Linked DNA regions of Canis lupus familiaris. The protein of the gene in region 2 interacts with the protein of the main gene of each other region in a pairwise test. Links are inferred from orthologs where the notes say so. Each region holds a gene or a part of one and is shown on either strand. Other genes may lie near its edges. The genes, in order: ATXN1, SUPT20H and MAPK14.

Region 1 (4,080 bases), on a different chromosome or scaffold from region 2:
ACATTTATTTATGCTCGTTCAGTCCCCCAAACCTTTCCCACAATGTTATTGGATAAAAACTGCAGGAATATCACACAAATTATCAACTCAAGATGTGCAAATTGCAAGGTTCTTTAAAAGTTCATCTTAAAAAGAAAAACACTGGACAAAAATGAGTATTCTTTTTTCCATCCCTTTTCTCTCAGTTTCTCGGCCAGCTCTGCATGTGCCTTTAATTCTTTCTCAAACATCAAAGTGAAAAGTGCCTTCTGGGAGGCTGTACTTGGTGGTCATTCATTGTCACATACTAGTTCATAATTCACATTCATCCCTTTAAACCACATTGAAACTTCCAATATCTTGCTCGTGAGAAACTCTGCAGAGCTGAAATGTAGTTACAGTGTTGAAAAAAAAAAAAAAAGAAAGCAACTTAGTTTTTTTTTTTGTTTTTGTTTTTGTTTTGTTTTGTTTTTTTCTTCCCAAAGAGTTTAAAGGGAGATACAGTACTTGTTGAATGATAGACCAAGATGCTTGGTAATAAAGTGTGAACAGCATTTTAAGTGCTTAGAGATAGTAATATATATGCTTATCTTCAAAATCTAATTCCTCACGTCACACTGGAATCTGAAAAAAGTGGCACCCGAGTTGTCCATAGTCATGAACTATAAACAGTACTAGAGTTAAAAGACAAAATTTGCAAACCCAATGCGAAGAGCTTCGGCGGCTCTCAGAAGGGCAGTTTGCGTCTACCTCTTGGGAGCGAAGTCAACGTGATCCCCTGATTGGTTTTCCTAACACTGCACGGAATCCCGAGTGGGTGTCCACTCTCTGCTACTCCTGCCGCCGCCGCCCACCCCCCTCCCCCCTTGCCCACCCTGACACCCTGGAGACATCACTGCACTAAGTAAAGCAGAAACGAAATCCCACGTGTGGCAGTTGCTCTAAAAAAATATCAGTGCAGTCAGGCCCCATAGGGGGAAATATATATCTATAGGATTAAAAGTTGCTTTTATTGTAAAATATGTTGGAGGAAGGAAAAAAAAAAAGAAGGTTCTTTTACACGGGGAGCTTTCCACGGGCTGTCTGATGCCTCTCTAGCATGCCCTGCGGCGAGCGGGGTTCCTGATGTCGGCTTTGCACGGGAGGAGGACCTCACGAGGATGCTCCCCCTGGGGCCTCCAGTCCCGGGCGGAGGGCAAGAGGCAGGGGGGCAGGGGGAGGCCGAGGGAAGGACGGAGAGCCTCGGCGGCCGTGCACCTGTGCCCCCCTCCCCGCGTGCACGCGCCCACGCGGGAGCCCACGCGAGCCCCCCCCCCGCCCCCCTGCAGCTCCCCCGCCCTCCGAGCATCCTCGGGGCGAGCGGCGGGGGCTTCCTGGGCTGCGCGCCCGGCCCCCTCCACCTGCACCTGCCGCGCTCACGGCCGGGCCAGGCCCTCGTGGGAAAGCGCGTGCACCAGTCTCCTGCGCGACACCGGCTGTAACTCTAATGACAAGGTTATAACAGAAACCTAAGGAGGGTAACATGTAAATACTGTGTTATTTAGCCTACAGTACAGTAATCTGGATACAAATGAGAAGGGGGAGCCGAGTTTCCTTTCCCCGCGCTGCCTCTACTTGCCTACGTTAGACCGGCCTTCAATGCAAATCTTAACCTCCTGAGGAATTAGAGAAGGCTTAGGAAGAGTCAAAGGTGGCTCGTCTTCCGACTTCTCCAGTTTGCGGGTCTCCGGGGCCGACCACCTCCTCTTCCTCGTTGCTGCGGGCTTGCTGGGTTCTATTTTGGTGAGCAAGGGCGCTGCAGGCAATCCTATTTTTTCTGGAAACTTGAGTTCGCCATTCTCGGCCAGCATCTGGGCACTTCCCTGGTTGATGCCGTTCTCCTGCTCGGCGTACCTGTGTCTGCTGCCTGCCAGGCCGTCGCTCTTTGAGTGCTTCAGCAGGACGCTGGCGGGATCCACGGGCGGGCCCTTCTTAACAGAGCCGTTCCTCAGGTTCTTGAGGGTCAGCGAGATGCAGACGTCCCCAACGGAGAGCTTGGAGCACGGCAGGTCGAAGAGCTGGCTGGTTCTCTCTGGACAGCAAGATGACCAGCCCTGTCCAAACACAAAAAAAGGGTACTCTACCAAAACCTCCACGCTGACCTGTGGAAACAGAGACAGAGAGGAAGGAGGATGAGGAGGATGCTTTATTCTTGTTTTATGTCTTACACTGCCTGCCGCCTGGGCATAAGCAAAATGAGGAGGAAAAAAAAATAAGACTTCCTTCCACAAACCTCATCCACCAACACACACAAAGGAGGCTCTTAATTTTTGGTTGCACCAGTACTTAACCGTATATGGGTGTTGGGGGGAAGCCAGTAAAAGTCCACTTAGTGTTCAGAATATCATTTCACTAACTATGGGCTCTCTAGCCGGCCTCCTTTAAGACAAATGGATCCAGGGCCACCTGGGTGGCTCAGGGGTTGAGCATCAGCCTCTCTGGCTCAGGTCGTGATCCCTGGGGTCCTGGGATCAAGTCCTACAGCGGGCTCCCAGCAGGGAGCTTGCTTCTCCCTCTGTCTATATCTGTGCCTCTCTGTCTGTGTCTCTCATGAATAAATAAATAAAATTAAAAACAAATGGATCGGTCCCCAAGGACGCCAGAACAGGTACTTGGTGTTTAGTACTAAGCTAGGCTCTGCAGGGGACTCAAGCGAGAGCACAAGATAAAAGTCTTGCACTTTTATCAGCTCGCTGGACAAATGCTATTCTTGTATAATTAGGGATCAGAGTGAGACTGTATACAAGCTCCGGAAGGCAGCCCTTACCTGTTTATCGCTATATCCCTGGCCCCTAAAAGGGCACCTGGCATATGGTGGAAGCTTAATAAATATTTATTGGGTAAATGAGTGTGTACTCAAGAATCGAAAGGAGCAGACACAGTAAACAGAGAGGGCTTCCCTGTTTACCCGAGCTGAGGGCTGGGCAGCATTTGGAGAGGTTTGAGGGGTGGACAATGTTGGGGAGATGATAAAATTTAGGACACAGAGAGCTCAAGTAGTTGGCCCATCCAAGGTCAAGCACCAGGTACTCAAATCAGCCCGTGCATTTGTTTGAAGATAAATACCAAAAGTGGGGAAGCTCAATATCCTCTCAATAGGTTGCTCTCTTCTCTATCATCATGTGCAACCTGTGTATTGTGCTAAGGAAATAAACGGAAAAAGCCAGCCCTAGTCCTAGTCCCAAAGTAGCTCACAATCGGTGGCCAAAAGAGACACATGAACATAATTGCCAATCAACACGGTGAGTGGGGTTATAATACTTTAATACCAGTATCAGGTTGTTGGAGGGCAGAGGAAAGGCACAGACCAGTTTGAAGAAGAGGTGATTAAGGGAGTTTTCTTGGATGAGGATACACTGTGCTGAGTTTTCAAACATAACGGGGGTGGAGTACAGGTGCGGTTGCAATGGGAACCCACTCTTGGAAGCGGAGATAGGTGAGCATAGGCAAGGAGATAGTGTCCAGTGAAAGCCCTACCGTTGCCATTGAATTAGGTTGAAATGCACTTGAGGTTCTAACAGTTTAATTTTCATAGAAATTTATTTTCTTCAACTTTATGCTATATAAAAAAGAAAAAGAACAATGAAGTAATTTGAAAGAGTCAACTTTCAATAGCTTTTATAGAGGTAGTAGACTAGGTAATCTGGAACAATCTTCTTACTGAGGACAACTAAATACTCTGAACAAAACCCAACCAAACAAAAACTAAGGGTGAAATGTAAAAACTTATTTCTGATTGCATTAGACAGAAAAGAAGATAATGAAAAACCAACCACGTAAGGCTCAGGGAAGGGTGATAGCTGAGAGATTTAAACCTGGTGTTTGGGATTATTTTTCCCTGAAAGCATTTGCACATTGCGACCTTGAGCAGTTTCAAAACCAAGTAGACCTCTGGTAATCTCAAGAGGGCGTGGGGGAAGGTTGCGAGGTGGGGAGAGGAGGAGAGTAGGGAATGAAATTCAGGGCACCCTTTAGGTGTATTAAGGGAGGATGCTTTCTGGTGAGCTCTATTCTTTTGGGCTGTGACCCCAAAGTGCTAAGGGCTATACTCTAGGAGTAAGA
Region 2 (4,969 bases):
CAGACATTGGTCATTTTAAATCATAAACTTTCCTCAAACACAAAGAGATAATATTAATTCTTCTCATTAAAAAAAAATCAGTTCAAATGCCAATTGAGTAGCGGTAACAAGAGAATTGAATTTTTTGCCTTCACATCAGGGAGATGCTGAAAAATGCTGCATGATTTGTTACTTCCAGTCATTCCTCCATATTCATAAATTACTTGAGTTAATAACTATGAAATTAAAGTTTGAGCTGCATTAACCAAGTTTTTTCTTTTTTTTACATTTTATATTTCAGCTCCTCCACAGATGATCATTCAAATTGGTAATTAAAAAATAAACAAATTCACTATTTTAATCTGTTAAGAAATCATATAAATGTCAAATTCTTTAAAAAGATTTGGTAAAGACATTTTATTGAATTGGCAACAAACTACCTTCCTTGTCTAAAATATATTCTAAGATCTGCTCTGTAGACATTAATGACTTCAAAAATCAAAGGTTAAAGTGAGAGGAAAGCCAAAGGCATTGGACACAGTAGTTCAGTGAATTTTGCTGTAGGGCAGACACTTGCAAGTATATATAGCACTTGGTAACTTTCAGCCCAGATTTTGTTTTTATACATCAGTTTTGTGCCAAAATACATCTCCCTTAAATCAGCCAAATTATCCACAGAATTATTTTATAATGCATGCAAAACTTGGTCATTGCTTCATAAGTTTAAATGTATTTAATAATTTTTTTTGTAATATCTCTGTAGATTGACTCATTTTATAAAACTACAGTCACTAAAATATGGAAGCCTTCAAAAGTATCCCAGGGCTCCTTAAGACAACTCTTAACATAATACTTTTCTCTCTTTTAAACACTTCAGGTTTGTTATTGGATCGAAGACTGATGCTGAGAGGTAAAAATATTTGCATTTTTATCTTTAATCTGGATGGATATTAAAAGCTTCACTTTTAAAGGATTTCTTATGGAATTAGGAAAATAACACAAGAATAATGTTTAAAATACAGTGTATTTTGAATAAGAAAGCATAGATAAAATATCTATGGTAGCTCAGGAGGATAATTTCTAAGTATATAATCAGAATGTGAGTGAAAGTCAGTGGGTAATTTCTTTAGCTGCTAATTGGTTAAATAATCCCTGTAATTCCTGTATTAGAAGGAAGATACTATATGTTTATCTTTAGATTGTTTATTAGCAAAATGTTTTGAGTAGCTTGTTGAAAAGACTAGAAGAATGTACCTTTGGTGCAAAGATAAATTGTCTAGTTTGAATCTTTGTGTTAATTTTGGTGGAATTTTTTTGTTAACAGTTATTTATTTCCTATAAATTTGTGTTTAGAACAGAGTTAGCTAATCTTTACTCATTTACTCTTCATATTCCAGGGTAGTCAATCAGTACCAGGAATTGGTCCAGAATGAAGCCAAATGTCCAGTCAAAATGTCACACAGCTCCAGTGGCTCTGCCAGCTTGAGCCAGCTTTCTCCAGGGAAAGAAACAGAAGTGTGTTGGATGACTCTTTTGTCCTTATTTGTTTTTCAAAGAATCTAAGAAATGTTAAAGACTTTTTTTCAAGGGATGGGGGTATTGTGTAGTATTTAACTTTTTATTTTTTTTTATTTATTTTTTTGTGTACTTTTTTTATTGGAGTTCGATTTGCCAACATATAGAATAACACCCAGTGCTCATCCGATAAAGTGCCCCCCTCAGTGCCCGTCACCCAGTCACCCCTACCCCCCGCCCACCTCCCTTTCCACCACCCCTTGTTCGTTTCCCAGAGTAAGGAGTCTCTCATGTTCTGTCTCCCTTTCTGATATTTCCCACTCATTTTTTCTCCTTTCCCTTTTATTCCCTTTCACTATTTTTTATATTCCCCAAATGAATGAGACCATATAATGTTTGTCCTTCTCCTATTGACTTACTTCACTCAGAGTAATACCCTCCAGTTCCATCCACATCGAAGCAAATGGTGGGTATTTGTCGTTTCCAAAGGCTGAGTAATATTCCATTGTATACATAGACCACATCTTCTTTATCCATTCATTTTTCCTTGGGCACCAAAGCTCCTTCCACGGTTTGACTATTGTGGACATTGCTGCTATAAACATTGGGGTGCAGGTGTCCTGCCGTTTCACTGCATCTGTATCTTTGGGGTAAATCCCCAGTGGTGCAATTGCTGGGTCGTAGGGCAGATCTATTTTTAACTCTTTGAGGAACCTCCACACAGTTTTCCAGAGTGGCTATACCAGTTCAAGTATTTAACTTTTTATAATGTAAACTTTCAAGTATACACAAAGGTAGAAGGGTATAATGAACATCTATCTGTGCATATTAATCACCTGGCTTCAACAATTTACTATTTTCCCTGGAAAGATTTAAGAGTGGAAGCTTTGCTTTAGAGTGGAAGTTTACCTATCTGACCTTCCTCAAACTGTCTGCCCACCTTACTATCTAGAAATCTTCATTTTTTATATATACTATAATTTATTTCATGGATCTTCTTATGTGAAATTATGTATTTTTTTAACTCTCACACCCAATCTATAACAATAAGAGTACTTTGCAGAGTTTTAAACTGTGTGTTCTCATCTAGAAGCTATAGTGGCATTAATTTATGAATTTCTGATTTGAGCTTAATTTAATTTTAACAAGTATATTTAATGTCCCTGTCTCTTAGCAGCCTGAGACTGTGTCAGTTCAGTCTTCAGTATTGGGAAAGGGAGTAAAACATCGACCTCCACCCATCAAACTTCCCTCAAGCTCAGGAAATAGTTCTTCAGGTATTAAATTCTTTGTTGTCTGTAATCTGGAGTAAAACATGTCACACAGTCAAAATCTGTTTTTAAAACTTCATATAATGACTTAGTTAACAGAATTTTGAATTGTAAGTGTAGAAAATAACTTTTATATTCTTCTAGGTAACTATTTTACACCACAACAGGCCAGCAGCTTTCTAAAATCTCCAACTCCTCCTCCTGCTTCCAAGCCACCAAGTCTTTCTCGGAAGTCATCTATGGATCTCAATCAAGTTAGCATGCTTTCTCCAGCTGCCCTGTCACCTGCCAGCTCATCACAAAGTGAGTTATAACTTAAATTCCTCATAAGCTCTTCATTAGCTTTTTGTACTTAGTGTTTCTTAAAACAGCTATTTTTTTTTTGACCAGTAAAATTGAAATCTAAATGTACTATGTACCCAAAATGTATAAATTTTGAGAAGCTTCAGGCAAATCTCTTGTTGATTGTATGTATTTTGTGTTTATTGTAATTGTATTTGTTTTTCTGTATCTGTGTATGCACTGTGTGTATACCTTATAGACTTACAACCTACACATATCCTTAAAAAGATGTTAGCCAAATGTGGCAATAAGATTCCAAAATACTTTTTATTCCAGTGTACCCTAGGATCATGTTACATTTTATGTAAATTATATAGCTGATATGAAAGGAAAAATGTCATACGAGTTGTTGCTGCAGTCCTATTTGTGTATGTAAGAAACCAACTAGTTCCAAGGTGGTGATAGAATAAACTGAAAGCTGATTTTTCAGAAACACTCCTACACTCTTAAAAATTGTAATCAGTTACTAAAATGTGGTAATCATAAAGCATTATTCTGAAAATATTAAAATGTAATTTTTACTACTGAATACTTTTTTTTTTAACATCAAGAAGACTTATGCAAGAATTCTAGCATTCAATTGGGAAGATTTCTTCAAATTAGAGATTTCTGAGATATTTAGGTATCAATTTGAAAAAAAGCATTCCAGTTTTTTAGATTTTTTTATAGATAACTAAAGTGTGCTGAAAGTTTTATACACTGCACAGTGATAGAGTGGTCTTCGCCTTAGATATAAACATCTTCATCTTGATAGCTCAAAAGGTGTAATTTTTCTGCCTTCTTGTTTTGCACAAAGAAAAATTTATAAATTTCCTGGAAGTCTTATTCACACTTCTTATGTTGTGGGTATGGATTATGTTAATCTACTGCACACAGTTGTTACTTTAAGTAAGGGTTGAGTGACAGCTTCTGGACATTCACATTTCTTTCCTTTCTTTCTGCAGGACATGAAAGCTAAAAAAGAAAACACCTCAAGAGCTTTTGGTTTTATTTTTTTGGTTTTTGTTTTTTGTTTTTGTTTTTTTTTTAAAAAGTTGATAAACTGTGCATACTTCATTCACAACAGATTTTCTATACATTCTTACATTTAAACAGAAGTACACAGTTACTGTTAAAGATGCAGTATTATCTATCAAATATTTGCTTTATTACTGCGTTTTGTAAATTTGTTTGTCAGGATAAACTTGATGTGTTAGGAATTAAACATGTACATTTAGGTGCCAATTATGATTGTTAACCATATGTAATTTATTAAGTATGTTCAGAGTTTATCTCAGACTGTTACAGAAAAGAAGCAATATTTTTAAGTGAAGTTCTAAATTAGTGAAATCGTAAATAACAAAAATTAATTTGAATTCCTCTTAAAGTTTTTAGGCCAAAGGTAGCATGTAGGAAATTAACTTTTAAATGGGTATTGTGGTAGAATACAAATGTATATTTTTACTGTTACTGTAATAGCATCTCTGATGGAATTTTTAGGTGATATACTGCATCCTTAATTGTAATTGAGTGTAGCAACACTCATGTATCATGTGTAGAAATTAACACTTGCAGTTAACTGCTTAAAAAAAAAAAACTGGAACAAATTGTCAGTGCTAAGTAAGATTCCATTAACCTTATTTTAAAAAGGACTGGCCATTTATAACAAACTAGCAATTTTTATTTTTCTCAATGAGCAGGATCTGGAACTCCTAAGCCATCTACTCCTACACCAACCCCTTCATCGACCCCACACCCTCCTGATGCTCAGAGCTCAACTCCTATTACCCCTTCAGCCACCCTTACTCCCCAAGATTCAGGCTTCACCCCTCAGCCCACTTTGTTAACTCAGTTTGCTCAGCAGCAAAGGTCTCTGAGCCAGG
Region 3 (5,501 bases), on a different chromosome or scaffold from region 2:
GGTTCATTCCTACTGCCGAGTTTCCTCCCTTGTATCCATCCACTCATCACCTTGATTGCCCACTCCCACCCGCCATTTCTTTCCAATCACATTTTTGCTTCTCGCCTCTTCCTTCAACCTTCATTACTTCTTGGAGGGCTCCCTAAACTGCAGGTAGCCTTGGAACATTTTCAAGCAGCATGTCTTCATAGGCGAGAGAATCCAGACTAAGCCACATCGGATCCTCCAAGAAAAGCTTTCCAGGAATGACCCATGACTCTGGTTTTTATTTTTGTTTTTCCTTGAGGAGAACTGAGGATCCTGCACTCTCTCCTAAGTTGAGATCATGGTCATTATTCATAATTTGTTCAATAAATATTTATGGGGTACCTATTATATTCTAGGCACTGTGCTAGGTGCTGGGACAAGATATGCAAAATCTGAGCATTCTAAAGGATGCACGACACGAAAGAGAATAATCACGGGAAGGGTTGAGAGGTGTCCTGGCTTGGACCCAGTTACTTCTAAGAGACATTGTAACAAACTTTAACAAAGGAATAAGTTGGTTACAGTGGCTGTAGGCATGGTTATATAGTATCTTGCTCACTCACACTTACTATCTTGTTCAGCTTTACAGGTAACCCTATTAGGCGCGGATGTAAGGCAGGAATTACTTTTGCAGAAGCTGGAACTAGAGTCTAAGAGAGGTCAATAGACTTGCCTAATAGGACACCCTCTGCCTTGCTCTCCTTAACCTGAGGCAAGAATCAAGCTTCAGAGCAGGATTCAGTTTCAAACCCTCAGAAGTACTCTTTTCAAAAATCCTTCTCCAAGGGGGATGCGGGAGACTTTCCTGAATCAGAACTGCCTGGAGCATATTATAAAAATGCGCGTTCTTGGCGCCTATCACCGACCTATCCACTTAGACTCCCTGTGGGTCCTGGGACTTGGCTTTTTTTTTTTTTTTTTTTTTTTAACACTCCAAGTGTTCTTTTGCACATAAACGTTTAAAGACCGTTAGGAGAGTTTGGGTGGAAAACCTCAGACTTAACGTAGAGCTAATACTTGCTTTCGGGATAGGGTCCGTCACAGTTCCGAAGATTAAGCCGTATGTCCCCGAACATGGAATAACGGCTTTCTGGCTGGAACCTTCCTTTTCCAAATGTAAGTATTTCTTGGAAGTTGGAGGTTCTGCTGAGCAGATGCTCGGCTGCTGGTGACTACCGGCAGTTCAAAGATCTTTTGGCTCTTTTCCCGACACCCTATTAGTCGCCGTCGCCTCCCGCCACGGAGCCGGGCGTTTGCCCCGCCGACCACGGTGGGGCGCACGCGGCATACGTTGCCTGCCTGTCCCTCCCTTTCCCGGGTCCGCCTTCGCGCCCTTAAGAGCAGTCCCCGAGAGTTCCTGCCTCTGGTCTCCAGCTGTTGCCCTTTTCTCGCGAGAAGTGCTCCTCCCATCCTCTCCGGTAGTCCACCCCCTCCCGTGGGCAGGTTCCATATTGGGTAAAATCTCGGCTCGCGGAGAGTCCCGGGAGCTGGTCTCGCGAGAGTACGGCTAGCGACTCCTGTTCGCTGGCTCTGGAACGGCGATCACTGGAACTTGAGCGGGCGCTGCAGCTGGAGCCGCAGTTCCGCGGCGCAGCCCGGGGTCGGCCTGGTCGGGGAGAGGGTGCAGGGAGAGCGTGGTGGGCGCAGCCCTGAGCCCCGCAGCCTGCCCCTGCCCTTCACCGGGCTCGCCCGGCAGCTGCGGCTGACAGGGGCCGCGCGCGCGGGAGTCGGCGGGGTCGCGTCTGCCGCACCTGCGCCGACTGCCAGCTCCGGGTCCCCGCCCGGCCCGGCGGGCAACGAGGGCCCGGGAGCGGGAGCGGGAGCGGGTGCGGGTGCGGGCGCAGGCGGGGCCCCTCAGGGCCACCTCCTAGCCCCGCGGCCGCCGCTGGAAGATGTCTCAGGAGAGGCCCACGTTCTACCGGCAGGAGCTGAATAAGACAATCTGGGAGGTGCCCGAGCGTTACCAGAACCTGTCCCCGGTGGGCTCCGGCGCCTACGGCTCCGTGTGGTGAGTGTCACCGGGCTTGGGTCTGCGGCGGGCTTGGTGGCCTCAGCACCCCAGAACCAGGCCTGCCCACACAGCTCAGCGATGCACCAAGCGGTAGGAATTTTCTCTGGGGGAGGGCATCGTTGCCCATTCGACCCCTGTGCTGCACGCCCGGGACCCCCTTGCACCCCTCACTCTGCACCCCCAGGGAGGCGGTCGGCTGTGTGCAGGATGCAGGTCCACGGTGGGCGGTGGTGCTGGAGCTCGGCCCTGCCTCGCACCCTGCGCAATCCCTTCTGGGGGGGTGGCTGCTCGGGGGAGGGGGGCTGGCACAGAGGCCGGGGCGTCTCTCCGGGGGTGGGGGGTGTCTCCCTGCCAGCCTCGAGCCGAAGGAGCCTCTCCGGAGGTGCAGCCACTCTGGGCGCGCGGGAGCCTGCCCTCCAAGCAGACAAGCCCGGGGGGGCTGCAGGGAGAAGCAGAAGGGCCAAGCTCTACGGGAGACTGCGAGCGTCGGAACAAAACTGACGACCAAGGGCTTTCTGCCCTGGCTTTTTTTTTTTTTTTTTTTTGCAGACCTCTTTCGAAATCTCATTTCGAGAGGCATTCTTTTCGAATTCGCACTTGCATTAGCAGCGACCCAAAGAACCGAAAATACCGACTTTATCTCGGCCAGCCTAGTGCCAGCTTGAGTTGTGTGTTTCCGATTCTGTTGAAAGCGTATTTCCTTTTCGCTGAGTGGGGGTGGGTGGTAGTGCCTGCAAGAACACTGCAGCTTGAGAAACTGGCGGCTTCACTGATTAGTCACATACCACTGCTCATTTAAGTATTGTTTGGCAAAAACAGTTTTTTCACTTGGAGCAAGTGAGATTCAGATCCGTTGGACGCGCTCAAGATCAAAGAATCATGAGCAATCTGGGGAGGTATTGTAAGTATTTCTTAATTGCAGTACATCTTGTGAATATTGTGTTTTTAAACTTCTTTAGAGAGTTCGCAGGGAACTGATCTACATTTGTAGCCTGAGGTACACGATGGTTTTCATAAGGATAGGGAATATATAGCAAAGGAAGGGAGAGACACTTCTCAGCTTTAATTCACACTGTGTTTTAAATTAAATCGATCCAATAAAATTCTTGGATCTAAAATATTTCACTAGTTTAGGTATTACACACCATATTTTAGAGTTACTGTAACTTGAGAGCTGCTGATCTGAAACTAATTCCTGTATTCATGTGAATCATTTGAAAAGGGCTCCATAAGATTTTGGGAGGGTGGGGGTGGGGGTGAGGGAAACGAATTCCAGACTTTTGGATGTGTTAATCTTTATAATTCTTGTGTTTCTTAAAGTCACATCATGAATTTCCTGTTTGCTAGAATCTTCTGGGTAATTGAGATTGTGCAATTGTGTCAAGCAACAGATCATATTGCATTTTCTAGTTCAAGCTGCGTGAGTTCATCTTGCTGATGGTCCCGTGCTTGACATCTTTTCCTCATTTTTATAATATGGCAGTTTACGTTTTAAGGGAATTTGCAACATTTTACTGTATCCATCTATATGTGTGATTGATTTGCAAATTTTCAGAGATATATTTGGATCATGGCTCCTTTAATAGCTTATTATTTTACCACTCTTTTTCATTCTGTTATGTCATAATTGACATTAATTTTCGTAGTACCAAGTTTCTGTTTCCAATGATGTTTAAACTTTAATGAAATGATACAGCAGAATAGCTCAACTATGGGGAGTTTAGTGGACCTGAAAACAACTGCTTGCAAGGTCTTCCTACTGTTGGTATGAATAGCTCTGTCCTGGAACTGCAGATTCAGATTTAGAGTGAAGTATCATAAAAATGACCTTTACATTTCCTTAGTACTATACTTTTTTGGCTTACAGAAGCCAGAAATATCTGACACTTGGAAGTGATTTTGTTAAACATATTTTAAAAAATATGTATAGAATTATATACACATTGTATAAAATTCAAAAGGCGTAAAAGGATATTTAACGAAAGGTATCCTTTCCTTTCTTGTTCTCCAACTGTGCTATTCCTTTCCTCTGAGACAGCCCCTGTTAAGTTTCTTATGTGTCTTTACAAGGAGGCAGAGCCCATTCATTTGTTTTTAGTAGTATTTCTGTTGAGGGATTTAAAGTGTGACATATGGTATATTGGTGGAAGAGAATGCATCTTATGTGTGTCAGTTGACTATGGCAAATATAATTGATTTTGGATTGAAAATATCAGAATTTAGATATACATAAGTAAGTGGCATCTCATTCAGAATTATTTGAAGTTATTCTTTCAGTTCTTTCAGATTCTTAGCAGTGTTTTGGGTGTTGCAGCAAACTTTTTTTTTTTTTTTTTTTTTAATTTCTCTTACAGCATTCTGGAGCCTGTGTTATTTTTCACTGCCATCATCCTTTAAGAACAGATTTGATTTTAGGGAATAAGAAAATCAAGCTGAATTCAAATAATTTAGAGAATTTGTACTCAAGTCTGGCGAGAAAGATTAGGCATTCAGGTTGGTCTTGTTTTAGGTCAAATAGGAGTTATAACTATAAAGTAATGACAGAATTTCTTGTGTGACTTGTAGAACTGGATCTGAAGTCTGTTCCGAAAAAGAATCTCTGAAAGCATTTTAAGGAATGCAACCTCACGCAAATATCTGTCAGTTTCCTAATTTGATTGCTCCTAAGTGTGATATACTTTGATGTATATTAAAAGTTTTTTATGTTAAGCCTATTTTCTCATTTTAATTTTCACTAAGTCTACAGTAAAAAGGCAAGCAGCAGCCTGTATGCTATGAATCCAAGATCAAGGAATCAGACTAGAAATTGAAAATTGATAAGGTTTTATTTTTTTAATTTTTCAATTTTTTAAAAAATTGATAAGGTTTTATAATATACCTTTCCTTTTTAAAAGGTAAAGGGAACTAAATAAGTCTTGCAGTTTTAAGGAACTTTGTTGCATTGTCTGTGAGGGGAAATGAAGCAAAATTGTTTAAGAATACTTTGTTGCAAAGCATTGATTTTCTGGTTTTGGGACAGAAGGAGGGACTCTTTGTGGTGAGTTTAAGGAAATATAAACAGGAACTTAAATGCCTTTCCTCTGGGTATGGTTTTTCCAGACCCTTGCTGTTGATTAGAGGAGGTGGGGCCCTGGTAGCCATAAAATAGGTAGCCATAAAATAAAAAATACTCTTAAGTCATAGTCCTTTGTTGATTCAACAACACTGAATACCAGCTACGGACTAGATAATGGGCTAGGTTTCATGAGATAGAGTGCTGAGCAAGACAGTGAGATAATCCATTCCCTCGTCAAGCTAAGTCTAATGTGAATAAAAAAACTACATTTTATGGATTGCTTACTGTTCTAGGCATTTTACTGTGTAGTTTATATTTATCACGAGTGTATTTAGCCTATGCAAGATTTTTTAGTGAGAGGATGGCAAAACTTACTAAGAAATCAAATCCAGCTTCCTAAATGCTCTG

Evidence for each region.
Region 1: the proteins of SUPT20H (region 2) and ATXN1 interact in binary tests that used the Homo sapiens proteins (3 or more experiments, as listed by UniProt). The link is inferred for Canis lupus familiaris from reciprocal best matches to the Homo sapiens genes SUPT20H and ATXN1.
Region 3: the proteins of SUPT20H (region 2) and MAPK14 interact in binary tests that used the Homo sapiens proteins (3 or more experiments, as listed by UniProt). The link is inferred for Canis lupus familiaris from reciprocal best matches to the Homo sapiens genes SUPT20H and MAPK14.

What each region holds. Positions count from the first base shown.
Region 1 is NC_049256.1:16,755,520-16,759,599, forward strand, and holds the end of ATXN1 (ataxin-1), read right to left. Parts: intron 2,121-4,080; coding exon 1,590-2,120; 3' UTR 1,498-1,589; downstream 1-1,497. UniProt on the Homo sapiens protein: Chromatin-binding factor that repress Notch signaling in the absence of Notch intracellular domain by acting as a CBF1 corepressor. Binds to the HEY promoter and might assist, along with NCOR2, RBPJ-mediated repression. Binds RNA in vitro.
Region 2 is NC_049246.1:3,745,906-3,750,874, forward strand, and holds part of SUPT20H (transcription factor SPT20 homolog), read left to right. Parts: intron 1-280; coding exon 281-307; intron 308-856; coding exon 857-889; intron 890-1,376; coding exon 1,377-1,494; intron 1,495-2,668; coding exon 2,669-2,771; intron 2,772-2,909; coding exon 2,910-3,068; intron 3,069-4,786; coding exon 4,787-4,969. UniProt on the Homo sapiens protein: Required for MAP kinase p38 (MAPK11, MAPK12, MAPK13 and/or MAPK14) activation during gastrulation.
Region 3 is NC_049233.1:5,325,836-5,331,336, forward strand, and holds the start of MAPK14 (mitogen-activated protein kinase 14), read left to right. Parts: upstream 1-1,919; coding exon 1,920-2,035; intron 2,036-5,501. Other genes in the region: SLC26A8 (testis anion transporter 1), read right to left, coding at 1,049-1,103. UniProt on the Homo sapiens protein: Serine/threonine kinase which acts as an essential component of the MAP kinase signal transduction pathway.